2 linked regions of the Oryctolagus cuniculus genome follow. The protein of the gene in region 2 interacts with the protein of the main gene of each other region in a pairwise test. Links are inferred from orthologs where the notes say so. Each region holds a gene or a part of one and is shown on either strand. Other genes may lie near its edges.

Evidence for each region.
Region 1: the proteins of CCNDBP1 (region 2) and CCDC146 interact in binary tests that used the Homo sapiens proteins (3 or more experiments, as listed by UniProt). The two-hybrid records come from large-scale screens. The link is inferred for Oryctolagus cuniculus from reciprocal best matches to the Homo sapiens genes CCNDBP1 and CCDC146.

The regions. Positions count from the first base shown.
Region 1 is NC_091434.1:141,553,401-141,561,060, forward strand, and holds the start of CCDC146 (coiled-coil domain-containing protein 146), read left to right. Parts: upstream 1-2,753; 5' UTR 2,754-3,014; intron 3,015-7,660. Other genes in the region: protein FAM185A, read right to left, coding at 2,022-2,409. UniProt on the Homo sapiens protein: Essential for sperm flagellum biogenesis and male fertility.
Region 2 is NC_091443.1:66,133,319-66,140,684, reverse strand, and holds the start of CCNDBP1 (cyclin-D1-binding protein 1), read right to left. Parts: upstream 4,642-7,366; 5' UTR 4,496-4,641; coding exon 4,387-4,495; intron 4,224-4,386; coding exon 4,164-4,223; intron 3,891-4,163; coding exon 3,811-3,890; intron 1,247-3,810; coding exon 1,165-1,246; intron 390-1,164; coding exon 293-389; intron 123-292; coding exon 49-122; intron 1-48. Other genes in the region: TMEM62 (transmembrane protein 62), read right to left, coding at 5,569-5,895. UniProt on the Homo sapiens protein: May negatively regulate cell cycle progression. May act at least in part via inhibition of the cyclin-D1/CDK4 complex, thereby preventing phosphorylation of RB1 and blocking E2F-dependent transcription.

The DNA.
Region 1 (7,660 bases), on a different chromosome or scaffold from region 2:
AGGTATTTGACGTAAAGAAAATACCAACAACTTCAAGAAACCTCAAATTACATAGTATTAAAACCACAAAATTGTGGTGTTGGCAGAAAATTTGAAAAAAAAAATAAAAAGAGCACTGGTCAAAACTGTGATTGGGCCGGCGCCGTGGCTCAATAGGCTAATCCTCCACCTTGCGGCGCCGGCACACCGGGTTCTAGTCCCGGTCGGGGCGCCGGATTCTGTCCCGGTTGCCCCTCTTCCAGGCCAGCTCTCTGCTATGGCCAGGGAGTGCAGTGGAGGATGGCCCAGGTGCTTGGGCCCTGCACCCCATGGGAGACCAGGAAAAGCACCTGGCTCCTGGCTCCTGCCATCGGATCAGCGCGGTGCGCCCGGCTGCAGCGGCGGCCATTGGAGGGTGAACCAACGGCAAAAGGAAGACCTTTCTCTCTCTGTCTCTCTCTCTCACTGTCCACTCTGCCTGTCAAAAAAAAAAAAAAAAACTGTGATTGGCTACCAATTTAATCAACTTCCAGTTTGTACTTGGCAGTTTCTATAATGCCTCATTAACAGCAGTATTTGGGTTGAGATTCAGCTATAGCATATGAAAAGACAATTTTGCCCCACATAATCATGGATGCAACTAAAACTATAAAATGCATTACTCAGCTAAGTAGTGTTAAACAACAGACGGTTTGCTCTAAGGGAGCACCAACAGATATGTTGAGATGGAAACAGATTCTAAAGATAGTGTATCCTCCCTAGGCAAGTAGAAAGTTGAGGCTGGACACTGAGAGGCAGTAATGCCACTCTTACCCATTCACTGAAACAGGCAATAGACAAACTGGAAGTATGAAGAAAATAGTTACGTTGATCAGAGGGCCAGTGGAATAGACACAGAGAAACAGTAAATTAGAAGTGGGGTTCTGGCCCTAAAAAGAGGGGGCAATCAAGAATGAGGCTTGGAATTATTCCCATTTTGGAAATATTCCATTTTCATCTATGCTGTCACAAATTTTACTTATCTCCAACTCAGTACTCAGTTACTGTGTACTACTGGTGAATCTTCCTCCCCAGCCCAGACTGCTAAACTTTGAGGGCAGGGAATGGCATTCATCTAAGCTGGTTAAAAGAATAAGCAATCAAACATTGTGGTTGAGCAGCCTCCAGCCAGTTCAAACTGCAGCCCTGCCACTTTCTATCTAAAAGACAGTAGTAATGTTTGCCGACCAATCCCCACTGGGGTCTAAGTTCCATGAAGCCATGGTTTGTTTTTTTTTTCTATTTGTTCATCCACAATAAATTCTTCTTTAATGTGACTTCCTACATCTCAGTTTCCTTATGTGGAACGGTGACAGTAACAGCATATGCTTTACAGTGCAACTGTAAGGACTGGACATGATTATCTGAGAGATGCTGAATGCTGTTGGGAGGATCATCAGTATCCACCAGGCTCAGGAAGAACGGCAGCTTGGGAGTGCTTCCGGGCCGTGTGTACACAGCGGCTGGGCGCTGGAAACCAAAACATCTGATAGGCCTTATCGCCGTTTCTAAAGCTTCCTGGGCAGACTTCCATTGCTACTCATTAAGAGCTCACTTAGGCTAAAAACTAGGGAGACGTTATCAGCAAGCGGGGTGCCTATCTGAAACCAAGTATGTGGTCCAGGCAATACAGGACACATCCACTAGACAGAGTTGTCGGGGACAAACCCCAAGCTGTGAGCAAGGGGAAAGGGGTGCCGCGTGATAGAACCCCAACCTTGAAAAACAACCCAGTCTGCTAGTGACCAAAAACAGGCGCCACAAATGTATTTGATTTCTACTACTCCAAATCATGTTTCCATTCAACGTATAAAATTTTCTAAGTGGGAGCCTAATTCTTAAACACTACTGGGAAACTCAGAGTGGAACAGAAGGAGTGGTCTGCGGATTAGGTTAGGAAGTCAGGTACAAGGGAGCCGATGAAAAATGCATGCTGGCCCCTTGGAAGAAGTTCGCCCTGCGCGCCCGGGGCCCCAAAGCCGCTTCCACTTCAATTCACTTGCCGAACTTGAGGGGCACGTTCACTTCCACCGACGCCCCGGGGTCGAGGGTGTCGGCCACGATGGCCAGCTCCTCCAGGGCCTCGTCGTACTTGACCCGCAGCCCGGCCAGGCCCTGCGCGCCGCCCTCCGCGCCGCACACGGCCACCAGCACGCGGTCCCCATCCGGGTAGACCAGGGGGTCCAGGGGCCTCACGGCCAGGTGGCAAGGGAGCCGCGCCCGCAGCCGACCGAACGGGCTCACCAGCAGCGTCCACTCCTTCAGAGGCCGGCGCGGGCTCCCACCTGAGCAGTAAGGCCTGGCCTGGCTCGCCCAAGCCCAGAGCCCACCGCCTCCTGCCCACGCTCGGAGCCCGTACAGCGGCAGGTGGCGCAAGCAGACGGCGGACATGGCGCGTCCCCCTCGCGCTCTCTCAGAACGCCTCAGTCACACTTGTCACGGCCAATCGACTTGGCCGCTGGGCCGCCTCTCGTCCAAGAGAAGACGTCTGAGATGGTTTCGCTGAAGCAGTCGCGCAAACTGGCTCGCTTGGCTGCGCGACTTTGAAACCTCAGCCGCAAAACTGAAGCGGCATGTTGGAATTTCAAAACTCAGTGTCAACTCTGACCGGAACTCCCGGCGTACCCCCGCCCCTTTCGCCAAGGCCGACGGGACAAGTAGTTCTCAAGGAGCCAGACGTCAAAGGGTTATGGCGAAGAGAAAACTACAAATCCCAGGAGGCAACGCGCAGAGGCGAAAGGACAGGAAGACTCGGCTGGGAGAGGCGCGCCCGTTGCTTCTAGTCCATTGGCCACTGGAAAGGCGAATCATTTGCATAAAAATCCAAATAGCCAATGGAAAAAGCGGAAGAGGCAAGGTTGGGAAGGCTGTGTGGTTACCTTGGATACCGAGGACGCTACTTGTTTGTATAGGTGGAGTTTTGGCGTGAAACTCAGGAGGTCAAAACCCGAAAGGAAAGCTTGGCGCCTAAATAAGGATCAAGACCGAGGGAAGGGGTAAGAAACCGCCCTTTAAAGATTAGAACAAAGTAGGAGTCCCCTAGCGGTGGAGAATTACTTGGCAAGAGAATAAAGAGCCAGGCTGGTGCTTTTCTGGAAGGAACTCCCTTGGCTGTGTGTGACCTCCAAGGCTTTAGGAGCCCTTTGAGCCCTTTGTGCGGACGAGAATACATCCCGAAGGATTTGTGAGCAGGTCTAGGGAGAGAACGGATGGGAACTTGGCGCACGGTCTACAAAACTGCAGTGTAGAGTACTTTGTTTTTGTTTGGAGGATAGCAGTGATTCCAAGTTACCAAGAAAAATCTGACACAGCAGAACCCTGGGAGCAGCACGGATCTGGCTGACTGCAAGTGGTCCTCAATCTTAGGGTGAAAATGTGTTTTAAAAAAATGCACATGGTGCAGTCTTGGGCTCTGGGGCTCGGATTGTGTCCCTCCCTGGCTCTACCCCTGGTTTATCTGTGTCTTCCGGGCCCGCTGTTCAGTTTTCAAATTTGAAAATTCTTATATTGTATTATCCTATGGGCAGTAAAAATAATGAAGAAGCAAATAATTTAATTTCCTCCTTTTCTGCCTGGTCTATCTCTTTCTGTGCCCCTACCTCATCCTACAACTTATTCTCCAAATTCTTTGGCCAAGACAACAGCCAACAGTGACGTTTGATAAAATCCAAGTGCTGAAACCGAAGGCTTTAAAAGGTTAATCCCTCCGCCAGGTGCACAGCCTAGAATTCCAGCGAGATGCATCGATAAACAGTGTACTAAAGTCCTCAAATTCCATGTCATAGCTTCATTGCTAGCCATTACTGTTTTAAAATCTTCTCGAGTTATCTTTGCTTCTTTTATGTTCTGTTAGTCCTTCTTGGTCAAGGCCACAGCCTACTTCTCCTCTTTTTCCTCCTCCTCCTCTTGGTGAAACCTCGTGATGGGTGCAATCTTTTAGGTTCAGCAAGGGCCCACTGAATGAATACCGATTCAGTCCTTGGCTCTGTGTTTCATGTCATCATAATTGTTCAGACTAATCTTTCAAGCTATCTGTGCTGTATGATCGCTAAGTATATTTAGATTAAATATAAAACCCTTAATAATTCGGCGTATGTGGTAATTTTTCTTTTTCCAAGACAAACTAAATTAATGAAATTGGCAACTGAACCATCATTGTCATCGGGTGTAATCATGATTTTACTATTTTCAAGTATATAATGCTAAATAAAAATGGAATGGAAATGGAGAGAATGATTGACATTAAGATTGATGTGAAACACTAAAAAGTGATTAAAACTTAAGGCAAGTCAAATGAGTATCACGTCTGTCCACCTGTCCGTAGTGACTAATGAACAGTGTGTCTTCTGTGTGTCTGACATTATAGTTTTCAGAACGTGTTCCTGTGCTTCCTCTCACTGTGTCCTCAGAAGTGCTTCCTGCTGAGCAGGCCCATTGTTTATTCTTCTTACATAACAGGTGAGGAAACAGATTTGAAACGTTAAGATTAGGAGATTAGAAGAGTCGACCCCAGGGCTGGCACTGTGGCGGAGCAGGTAAAAAGCTGCCATCTGCAGTGCCGACATCCCATATGGGCACTGGTTCGTATCCTGGCTGCTCTACTTCCTGTCCAGCTCTCTGCTGTGGCCTGGGAAAGCAGTGGAAGATGGCCCAAGTGCTTGGGCCCCTGCACCCATGTGGGAGACGAGGAAGAAGCTCCTGGCTCCCGGCTTTGGATCGGCACAGCTCCAGCCATTGTGGCCAAATGGGGAGTGAACCAGCAGATGGAAGACCTCTCTCTCTCTGCCTCTCCTTCTCTATTTGTGTAACTCTGGCTTTCAAATAAATAAATAAATTTGAAAAAAAAAGTAGACCATTTTCTGACTCTACCAAAAAGTCTCTCTTTAAAAAAAAAAAAAAAACACAAGATTTTATTCATTTATTTGAGAAGTACAGTTACAGACAGAGAGAGGGAGAGGCAGCCAAAAAGGTCTTCCATCTGCTAGTTCACTCCCCAAATGGCTACAATGGTCAGAGCTGGGCCAGTCCGAAGCCAGGAGCCAAGAGCTTCTTCAGGGTCTCCCACGTGGGTGCAGGGCCCAAGGCTTTGGGCCATCTTCTACTGCTTTCCCAGGCCAAAGCAGAGAGCTGGATCAGAAGTGGAGCAGCCATGTGAGATGCTAGCACTGCAGGTGGAGACTTAGCCTACTACTCCACAGCGCCAGCCCCAAGAAAGTCCTTCTACAAATATTTTTCTGACACCTTTGAAGAAAAAAGTTCACCTCCTAGAGATTCAAATATAACTTTTCTTCCTTATCTATATAAATATCTATAGATATTTTTACCTACTCAGGTAAAAGAGTGATTTCCGTAGTCAAAGGCATATCTTTCTGATGGAAGTGTGAGTTAGTGCAATTTAGCAATAGGCATGAAAAGCCTTGAAAATGTGTGATCCAGAGCCCAGCAACTGCACTTATCGGGATGTAAGTATGAAATCAGGAATCTTCGTTGAATCTCATATTATTTATTTATTAAAGATTTATTTATTTATTTGAGAGACAGTTACAGAGAGAGAGGTCTTCCATCCACTGGTTCACTCCCCAAATGGCTGCAATGACCAGCGCTGGGCTAATCCGAAGCCAGGAGCCAGGGGCTTTTTCTGAGTCTCCCACGTGCGTGCAGGAACCCAAGCATTTGGGCCATCTTCTACTGTTTTCCCAGGCCAAGCAGAGAGCTGGATCCGGAGTGGAGCAGCCAGGACTCAAACCAGCCCCGATATGCGATGCCAGCAATGCACCAGCCCCTATAGGACTATTTTAATAGTCAGTAAGCATCAACTGAAGTGCTCTCAAATAAGATGGTAGCACATAAATTAGTATACATCTGGATTAGTATGAAACAATTTAAGAATTGTACTTTGGGGACCGGCGCTGTGGTGCAGCGGGTTAAAGCCCCGGCCTGAAGCACTGGCATCCCATATGGGTACCTGTTCTAGTCCCAGCTGCTCCTCTTCTGATCCAGCTCTCTGCTATGACCTGGGATAGCAATAGAAGATGGCCCAAGTCCTTGGGCCCCTGATCTGCATGGGAGACCCAGAGGAAGCTCCTGGCTCCTGGCTTCGGATCGACGTAGCTCTGGCCGTTGTGGCCAAATAGGGAGTGAACCAGTGGATGGAAGACCTCTCTCTCTCTGCCTCTCCTTCTCTCTCTTATAACTCTGACTTTCAAATAAATAAATCTTAAAAAAAAAAAAAAAAAAAAACCTGAGTCAGCCTGACAGGCACCAAGACAATCACGCTGGAGTGGTAAAAAAGAGTGAGTATTTGTTGGAAGGCACAGAGAAAGGACCCTGGGAGCTAGCATTTAACTCTTGGGCTCCCAGAGGGGCTGGGGGTAAAAGTTATTACAGACTGAAGCTGGGATTGGGAGGTGCATGTTTAGCTCACGTCCAGGGCTGTGGTTGGTCTACAGTGCTTGGCCCTCCTTTGATTGGCCAAGGACATTGTGTTCTTTTGGCACTCTTGATAATGGTAAAGTGGGCTCCTGTCAATCAGGTTGGGGCTTAGAGACTGGGGCTCCTTCTGGAAAAACCCCCAAAGACGAGGCCTAACAACAGGCTGTTCTGTGCAGGAGCAATAAGTGGCCTTGTGAGTCTGGTGAGCAGGGACCCTGTAGGGCTGATGGCACAGCTTCCTCAATTCAGTGAATTAAACTTAGTGAGAGGGTGATTTAGGAAAGAAACTGAGCTAAGGGAGGGAGATGGAGAAGCCGAGGGTTATTAGGGCTTGATAGTGTCTAGCATCTGAATCAAAGGCCTTGTAGAAGGGCTCAATTTCAAACATAAATCATAATAAGAAAAAAAGTTGGTAAGTCTTTCCTAGCATACGTTGTTTCATGAGACTGACTCAAATAATGAACCGGGTGGAAGATTCCAGTATTTTATTTAATGATTTGTGTAATAATGTTCATGGACAGCAGAGGGCGTGAGAGAGTTTTCAGAAGAAAATGGAACTGAAACAAAGGCGTCGTTAATTCACCTTAAGTGAGGAAAGCTGTAGAATTTGTTAACTTCGTAAAGAGAAACGCGTCTTATGACACCTATTCGTATGATCTATTAATAAAGGCAGTAACCTAAACTAGTAACTAACGGTGCTATGGAGTATTTAGTGAATACGTAGGTAGTCCCATTTGAAGTCTGTATGCCAATCTTCAGAGACCGTTTAACTTCCCTCTTCCTGGTCTGTATGGCTTGTATTTCCGCTTTAGTGTTGTTGCACTGGCCCATCCCCTGCACTGCAGTACTTAGTGGAGCAGTGTCTTAGTCACCATTCTATGGGGGAAAGCACTTGGTATTTTACTTTAAAGTTAGTTGCTAATTTTTCACAGGTGCCTTTTATTACTAGGGTCATTTCTAGTTGCATTTTGTCCATTGCTTTTTTTCTGTTATCTATTGAGATGATCGTAGAACTTTTCTTCTTTAATTTATTAGCATGGTGTATTACAACGATTGATTTTCAAATGTTAAAGCACATTTCATTGCCTTACATTATAATGTATATTATATATATCCCTTATAGTAACTTTTCTATTTATTGCTAGATTCAATTTGCTAATATTTGGTGAAGATTTTTCATTTTACATTCATGAGCAATGTTATGCTAAAG
Region 2 (7,366 bases):
TGTGCTTTGGCCATCAGAGTCAATGGCCCACTTCCCACTTTTACTCACCTTTTGGTATTCGAGGAACCTGCTGGCATGCAACCCAGACACTGTTACAGGATATAAGGTCATTGTTCTCAGGGCTAGAGAAAGAAATCAGTGAGGATATGTCAATAACCTAGGTTCCTCTTTCCTAAAAAGCTTCTTCCTACTGGTTATTATTCTCAGTTATCAGCAGACTTACTATTAACTGAGTTTCCTTCCCAGAGGCAAGGAACCCATTAACTGATAACCCAAACTGGGACATCACTACCTCTGGGCTGGAGTGGTGGAAAGTACTTCCATGAGCTGAGCCATGCCATCCACGATGTCCAGAGTGGCGCTTCGAACCAGCTTCCTCAGTGTGATTCCTATGGCCCAACCCAAAGAGTAAGCAGCTGGCCTTCTTCTCACAAGTTATCATCTGCTTTCCTAACTGTCAGCATTCCAGAACCACAAGGTAATGGGCACCACATGCTTTAACCAAAGTGCTAACACAAAATTTAGGTCTTATTTATACCTTATTTATACCGTGTTACAGTCTTGCCCCTCCCACTATCCTTTAGAGCCATTCTCTGTAAGAGATTTGGAATAGAATCTTCCCATGATAGCATGGACTCATTCATTACGACATAATTATGGCTGAAACACTGGAAGTTTAAACCATTTGTGAGTAACCACAAAGAACCATGACATGTATTCATCTATAACTTTGGCATCACTATAATCAAGCCATGATGCACAGGCAGGGCTGAAGGCCACTTAACGCATGAATGAGTCTAGAAATGGGGCTTGATGTGGTATGAGTGGAGAAGAGCAGCGATGGCCTGGGCCTGGAAATGGGGCTGAGACTCAGTCAGCATCTGTAGTGGTCAGAATGTGTTGGAGGAGGAGACAGCAAGAACCACAGGTGTTAAGAGTCAAGCAAAGCAGGGGAGATAAGTTCACTTCTTAGGTATCTTGTGTATCTTAGCACAATGGCTTGTTTTTAGAGGCCACTGACATTACAGAATTATCTTTACCTGTGTTTTATAGGGAACGCTACATGCTCAAGTTGGGGAAAGGGGACTATCTGAGGACATCATGCAACATATTAGCAAAGATCTAATGTAAAATCACAACATTCATGCCCACACAGTGGCTTACCCTGCTCCTTAGGAAGCGAAAAGTATACTGCAATAACTGCTGTGATGACAGCACACACTTGTTCACAGAAACCCTGGGTTTCCTGCAAGGTGAGGACCAATTCCATAATGGGAAAAAAAAAAAAAAGAAGAAGAAAATTAGATCAATGTGGTCAATTCATTTACCAAGGAAGAAAGCAGACAAGCATACAGCATCGTAAACGTCTTCTTATGAGTTGAGCCTTGAGCTATACTTAACCTATACCAGTGAGGAGTTAGCTGATCATCAGACAATGGGCAGACAATTTAATAAAGTATTAAGAAACAACAGGAAAAACTTACTCCTGATACTCTATATCCCCTAAGATATTCATGATCTGTTCTGAGATACTCACCATATCTTAGACCAGAAGGTGGCATGCTATGGTCCAGAGGCTAAATCAGGCTGGTTGCCAGTAAATAAATGTTACCAGGACACATCTATGTTCACTGGTTTACATATTGCTTATATTGTGTTGGCACTAGGAGAGTTGAGTAGTTGGCTTGCAAAGTCTAAAATATTTACTGAGTCTGTCTATCTATCTATTTATTTGAGTTTTACAGGGAGAGACAGAGGGAAAGAGGGATAGATCTTCCGTCTGCTGGTTCACTTCCCAAATGGCCACAATGGCCAGACCTGGCTGGTCTGTAGGCAGGAGCAAGCAGCTTACTCCAGGTGTCTCACATGGGTGGCAGAGGCCCAAACACTTCAGTCATCTGCTGCTGCTTTCCTAGGCATATTAGCAGGGAGCTGGATCAGAAGTGGGGCAGCCGAGTTTCCAACCGGTGCCCATATAGAATGCCAGCACTGCAGGAGGGAGCTTTACCCACTATGCTACAATACCAGCCCCTTTTACTGAGTCTTCACAGAAAAAAATTGCCAACCCCCAGCATTAGATCATTAACCAGCTCTCTCTTTTAGCAAAATTACAATCTTTAAGTGAACATAACTAGCATGTTTAGTGTTGACTGTTTTCCTTCTAAATGGTCACTGGCTCTCTCATCTTCCTTGTCCTCATTGGCTCGCACTGGTACCAGTTAGCAAACTGCTCCCAGTTTGGGATGAAGTAAGTGCAGTGACTGAGAATGTTTAGAGAGATGCAATTTGACATTGTTTCAACATCAAAGCACATAAAATTATAAAAGATATCAGTCCATTCAAGTCAACCATCTGTAGGAATGAAGTGTTGGGATTTTAGAAAGTGATTATCATTTAAATACACACACATTTGAACACATATATTTGTGAATATACATATATATATATAATAAAACCCAATTCTAATTTTTCACCCATCTATGAGCAAACTACAGTCCTTAGCAAGTACAGAAAAATATTTCTGTGCTGGCTCCTCACAGTACTTGCTGTGAGTTTTAGCAGTAAACCCCAATCATACCTGAAAGGAGTCAGCAGACAAGAAAATAAAGATCATATTAGTACTCCAGTTTCAAATGATATTATACAATTCAATTCTTGCTTACTCATCAAAATCTCTAAGGATGCAGAGAAAACAGAGTTTTTATTGTAGGTATATGTAGCAAAAAGATATTTATATCATTTCAAGACACCTGGATACACAGATCGAAAAGAGACCAAAACTACTATGAAAATCAAAGAAAGCAATGAATGTGTCATTTTGAAATAACCTCACGCCCAAATTAAGTATATATAGCTCTAGAAAAAATGGAGTCAGCAGCATAGGGCATACCTGTTCACAACCAATATGTTTATTTTCATCAGTCTTACAATAAAGGATTATTATCCATGTATACATTCTCTGTTCTAGCAATTTCACTTCTGGGATTTTTTTTCTACTGAGGTACACAGGCATACAAAGATTGTAGTATGCAATTCACGATTTATAATACTGACAAGATGGAAGAAGTTTAAATGTCCACAGAATATTGGTTAAATTATGGTAATATTCACTCTGTTGAATACCGTGCAGACACGACAAAGAATTGAGCAACTGTGTATGCGCATCAAGAACAGACACACTGATTTCCAAACTATGTTGCCAATTTTTAAAAAAAGAATGTCCAGAACAAAGTAGTATCATATTATTTGTATAAAAAGCAGCTCATTTACACATAAATGTATATACACATAGAATACACTATATAGGAAAAAAATGGAAAAGTAACCAGGAAGGGAGACAAAAATGAGGAATGGGGTGGTAAGAAACATTTTAGCACACTTATATTTGATATCTTTTGAATTTTATATTACTATAGTATGATTTAAAAGTTACTGATTAAATATAGAATGGAAAAGTACTAATATAAAAGGGTTTTATGTGGCACAGGAGTAGCTGAGACAACAGGTGGATTTAAATTCTAGCTCTATCACTTATGTGTGTTAACCTGAGCCTCTGAGCCTACTTACTCATCTGTCAGGGTGAAAACATCTAGCGAATAACCAGTGCTTTAAAAAGATATCAGAAAGGAAATAACCTAGGCCGGACTGCAAATTCAAAGTCAGAGGACCTGCCTATTCCGCGCCCCAAAGCGCACTTCACAACAATCCTGCGAGGTAAGAACTGTAATCCCGTCCGAGAAAAACACATTTCCTGGCCTGACTGTAAAAGGTAAAAAGAAAGTCCGAGGACTCCAAGAAAGGGCAGCCCACCTGTGGAGACGGCAGCGGAAGCCGAGAGAAGGCAGTGGTCAGAGTCGTGGCCTCCCTCGACACGTTCACAGCCGCCTCATCTGCGGGGTGGCAGAGGGGCAGGCAGAGCCAAAAGGTTAATAAGCGGAGCAGCTGCGTGCGTCCCCTCTCCGCCCGAGGCCTAGCAAAACACTTCTCAGAGTCAGTGGTTTACATGTCAACCTTTCTGGTGCCAGCGATGGGCAAAGTGGGGTATTCCCACAGAGAGGATGCGACTGGGGGACGGAGTCGCCTCCTACGGGCGGCCGGGAGGTTAAAGGACGGGGACGCTGACGAGGGTGAAAGATGGGGGCCCCGGCGCCAGGGGCACTCACTGAATCTTCTCCAGAACGTCTCCCGATTAAACTCCTCGACGGTGCCGCGGGCTTCGCCGACTTGTGGGTATGGCATGGGAGGGCCAGACGGTGGCGAAAGGAAAAGCTCAGGTAAGCGGAACCACGGCCTCGGCCAGGGGCTCCGCCTCCGGTCGCCGGCCAGCCTGGCCTCTCCCTCACCCCAAGAACGCACTTGCCATTCCGCCCCCCTGTGTCAGCTCACCCCGCACTCGAGGTAGGAGCAGTCGCAGCTCCACCGCCAAGTGCCGGAGCTGCTCCAAAGGCGGAACCAGGGTGGGCACTGCGGCCGCAGGTGCAGCTGCGCTCGCCATCGCAGTCGCTCGGGTGACCCCGGAGACCGAGGCAGCCGGAGGCGCTGCCAGAGACGCAGAGCAGCAGTCGTCCCACTAGGCTCGTTTCCGGCAACAAGCCGCTTGCCCCGCCCCTTCCGCCTCCCTGAGGCCACGCCCCCAGACCCGGCCAAGCCTTCCCCAAACAAGCACCACCCATTTCCAGAGGCTGGACAGCAAAGCAATGCTCACGTCCCGGGTCTTTTTCTTTTAAAGAAAATACTATGGTTTTTGTTGCTTTAAATTTTTATTTATTTATTTGAGGCTGACAGTGGGACAGAGAGGGACACAGTGGGAGCATGCTCCCATCCATTGATTCACTCCCCAAAACCCACAAGCCAGCAGCAGGGAACTCAATCGGGTCTTCCACATGGGTGGCAGGGGGCCTACCATTTGAGCCATCACTCCCTGACTCCCAGGGTGTGCATTATCAAGAAGCTGGACTCCAGAGGGGGCACAGCCAGGGCTGTTTCAACTGGTGCCTTAACCACTAGGCCAAATGCCTGCCCTCATGGTATTTATTCATTCATTAAGTCAATTAATTGAAAACACCCCCAATTAGGGCCAAAAGCTCATAACCCGGGGGCCAAACAGGACTGGGAACTAATATCTTAATGGTAGTCAGAGTTGGGCCAAAGTCCACAGTTTCCCTGCCCCTAACAGCACCCTTGACAGCTGCTGAGTTCCAGGCAGCGGTACTAGGTGCTTTACATGGGATAATCTTAAAAACACACGGGGCCTCAGATGCCCCCACTCACACACCCAGACCCTGCCCTGTGGAGCTCCTAGATTAGGATTTTCTCTTCACAAAGATAAATCAATCCTTTGCCTCCCCAGGGAAGGAAGGAATCAAGTCATTATTTAGAGACTTTTCTGCAGTCTGTTCTGTAGGAATCAATAGTGGATAATCCCTGCAACATCCAAGTGTCCAAAGAGCAGCAGCTCCCTGAGGCTCACACACCAGTGCTGGCCCTCCACCTGCTACTGGAGCGGGGGCCTGGCTACAGGTGCAGACGCTGGACTTCCAGCCAGCTGCCAGTGGCAAGACATGGCCCTCAGGAGCTCAGGTGGCTTTTAAAATGCACCATGAAGGTTCCAAATTCAGTGGAGTTCAGTTTCCACACATAACGAACGAGAAGAGGAGTCAGCAGTGACAACCAGGTCCGCAGAGGGGAGAATAAAAGAGCTAGAGTGCCGTGAGTCACGTGAAGACAGTAGCAGGAATAAAGCTGCCAGACGTACAGCAGGAACATAAGTAGGTGCACAGGTATGATTTTCAAGTGTTTTCCTTGATGGAGATGAGACCTGAAGTTGTGACCAAAGCACCGCTGCAGCAAGCTCCAACACAGGTAGGCCATCAAGGGGATGTTAAAGAACACCAGCTGGAGGGAGGAGAACACAACCATTAGCCGCCTTTGCAGGGCTCAAGTCCAAACACATTATTGCTGCTTCCTAAGAATCGGTGGCTTTCTGTCTTCGTTAGCTGTCTCACTAAGTGTCGGTCACATTCACTTACAACACAATAGCTGACTTGTGGCTAGTTGTGTATTTGCCTGTGTTCAGGTAAAGAATCAATTCATGTTGAGGCCTCAATCTGTACTACAGCATTCCATCCACAGTAGGTATCTAATAGTGTTTTACGTTGGAATTGAATAATTATATACACACAAACAGAATGGGGGGGGGGGAGGTGAGTATTAGTGCTTTTCTATTTTTTATTTATCTTTATTTTTTGAGGCAGCATAATGAATGCTGAAATATAGATTAGAAGATCTGAGTTATAATCCAACTTTAACTTATACGATTCACTTACTCAACAAGTACATACTGAGCACCTATTATGTAGCTAGACTCTAAGGACGAAGTGGTGAACAAGACAAAACAGATCCATCATAGCATTCTTTTTTTTTTTTTTTTTTTTTTTTTTTTGACAGGCAGAGTGGATAGTGAGAGACAGAAAGACAGGCTTTTGCTGTTGGTTCACCCTCCAATGGCCGCCACGGCTGGTGCGCTGCGGCCGGCGCACCACGCTGATCCGAAGGCAGGAGCCAGGTACTTATCCTGGTCTCCCATGGGGTGCAGGGCCCAAGCACTTGGGCCATCCTCCACTGCACTCCCTGGCCACAGCAGAGAGCTGGCCTGGAAGAGGGGCAACCGGGAAAGAATCCAGCGCCCTGACAGGGACTAGAACCCGGTGTGCTGGTGCTGCTAGGTGGAGGATTAGCCTATTGAGCCGCGGCGCTGGCCCTCATCATAGCATTCTAACAAGGAGACTAGAGACCCAAAGTACATAAAATCACAGACTCTGATATGTTCAATGAAGGAAACAAGTGGATCATGAGAAGGTAACTGGGAACTAGGTTGTGTGAGGCTGATGGATAGGAACGAGTCAACAGAGGGAAGCACATTCCAGGCATAAGGAACCAAAAAAGCCTGGAGGTGGGAGAAGTCTTGGCCTCTGTAAGGCAATGCTCCTAGAGCATGAAGAGCCAGGAAAAAATGGGACCAGTCAGCAGGACCCAGATCCAGTCACTGCTCCTAAAGGGTTTCACATTGAGACATGTGTGGAAAACTGCAGAAGGGGGCCAGTGCTGTGGCGCAGTGGGTTAACACCCTGGCCTGAAGCACCGGTGTCCCATATGGGTGCAGGTTCGAGACCCAGCTGCTCCACTTCCCATCAAGCTCTCTGCTATGGCCTAAGAAAGCAGTCAAAGTCGGCCCAAGTCCTTGGGCTCCTGCACCCATGTGGGAGACCCAGAAGAAGCTTCTGGCTCCTGGCTTTGGATCGGCGCAGCTCTGGCCGTTGCGTTCAACTGGGGAGTGAACCATTGGATGGAAGACCTCTCTTTCTCT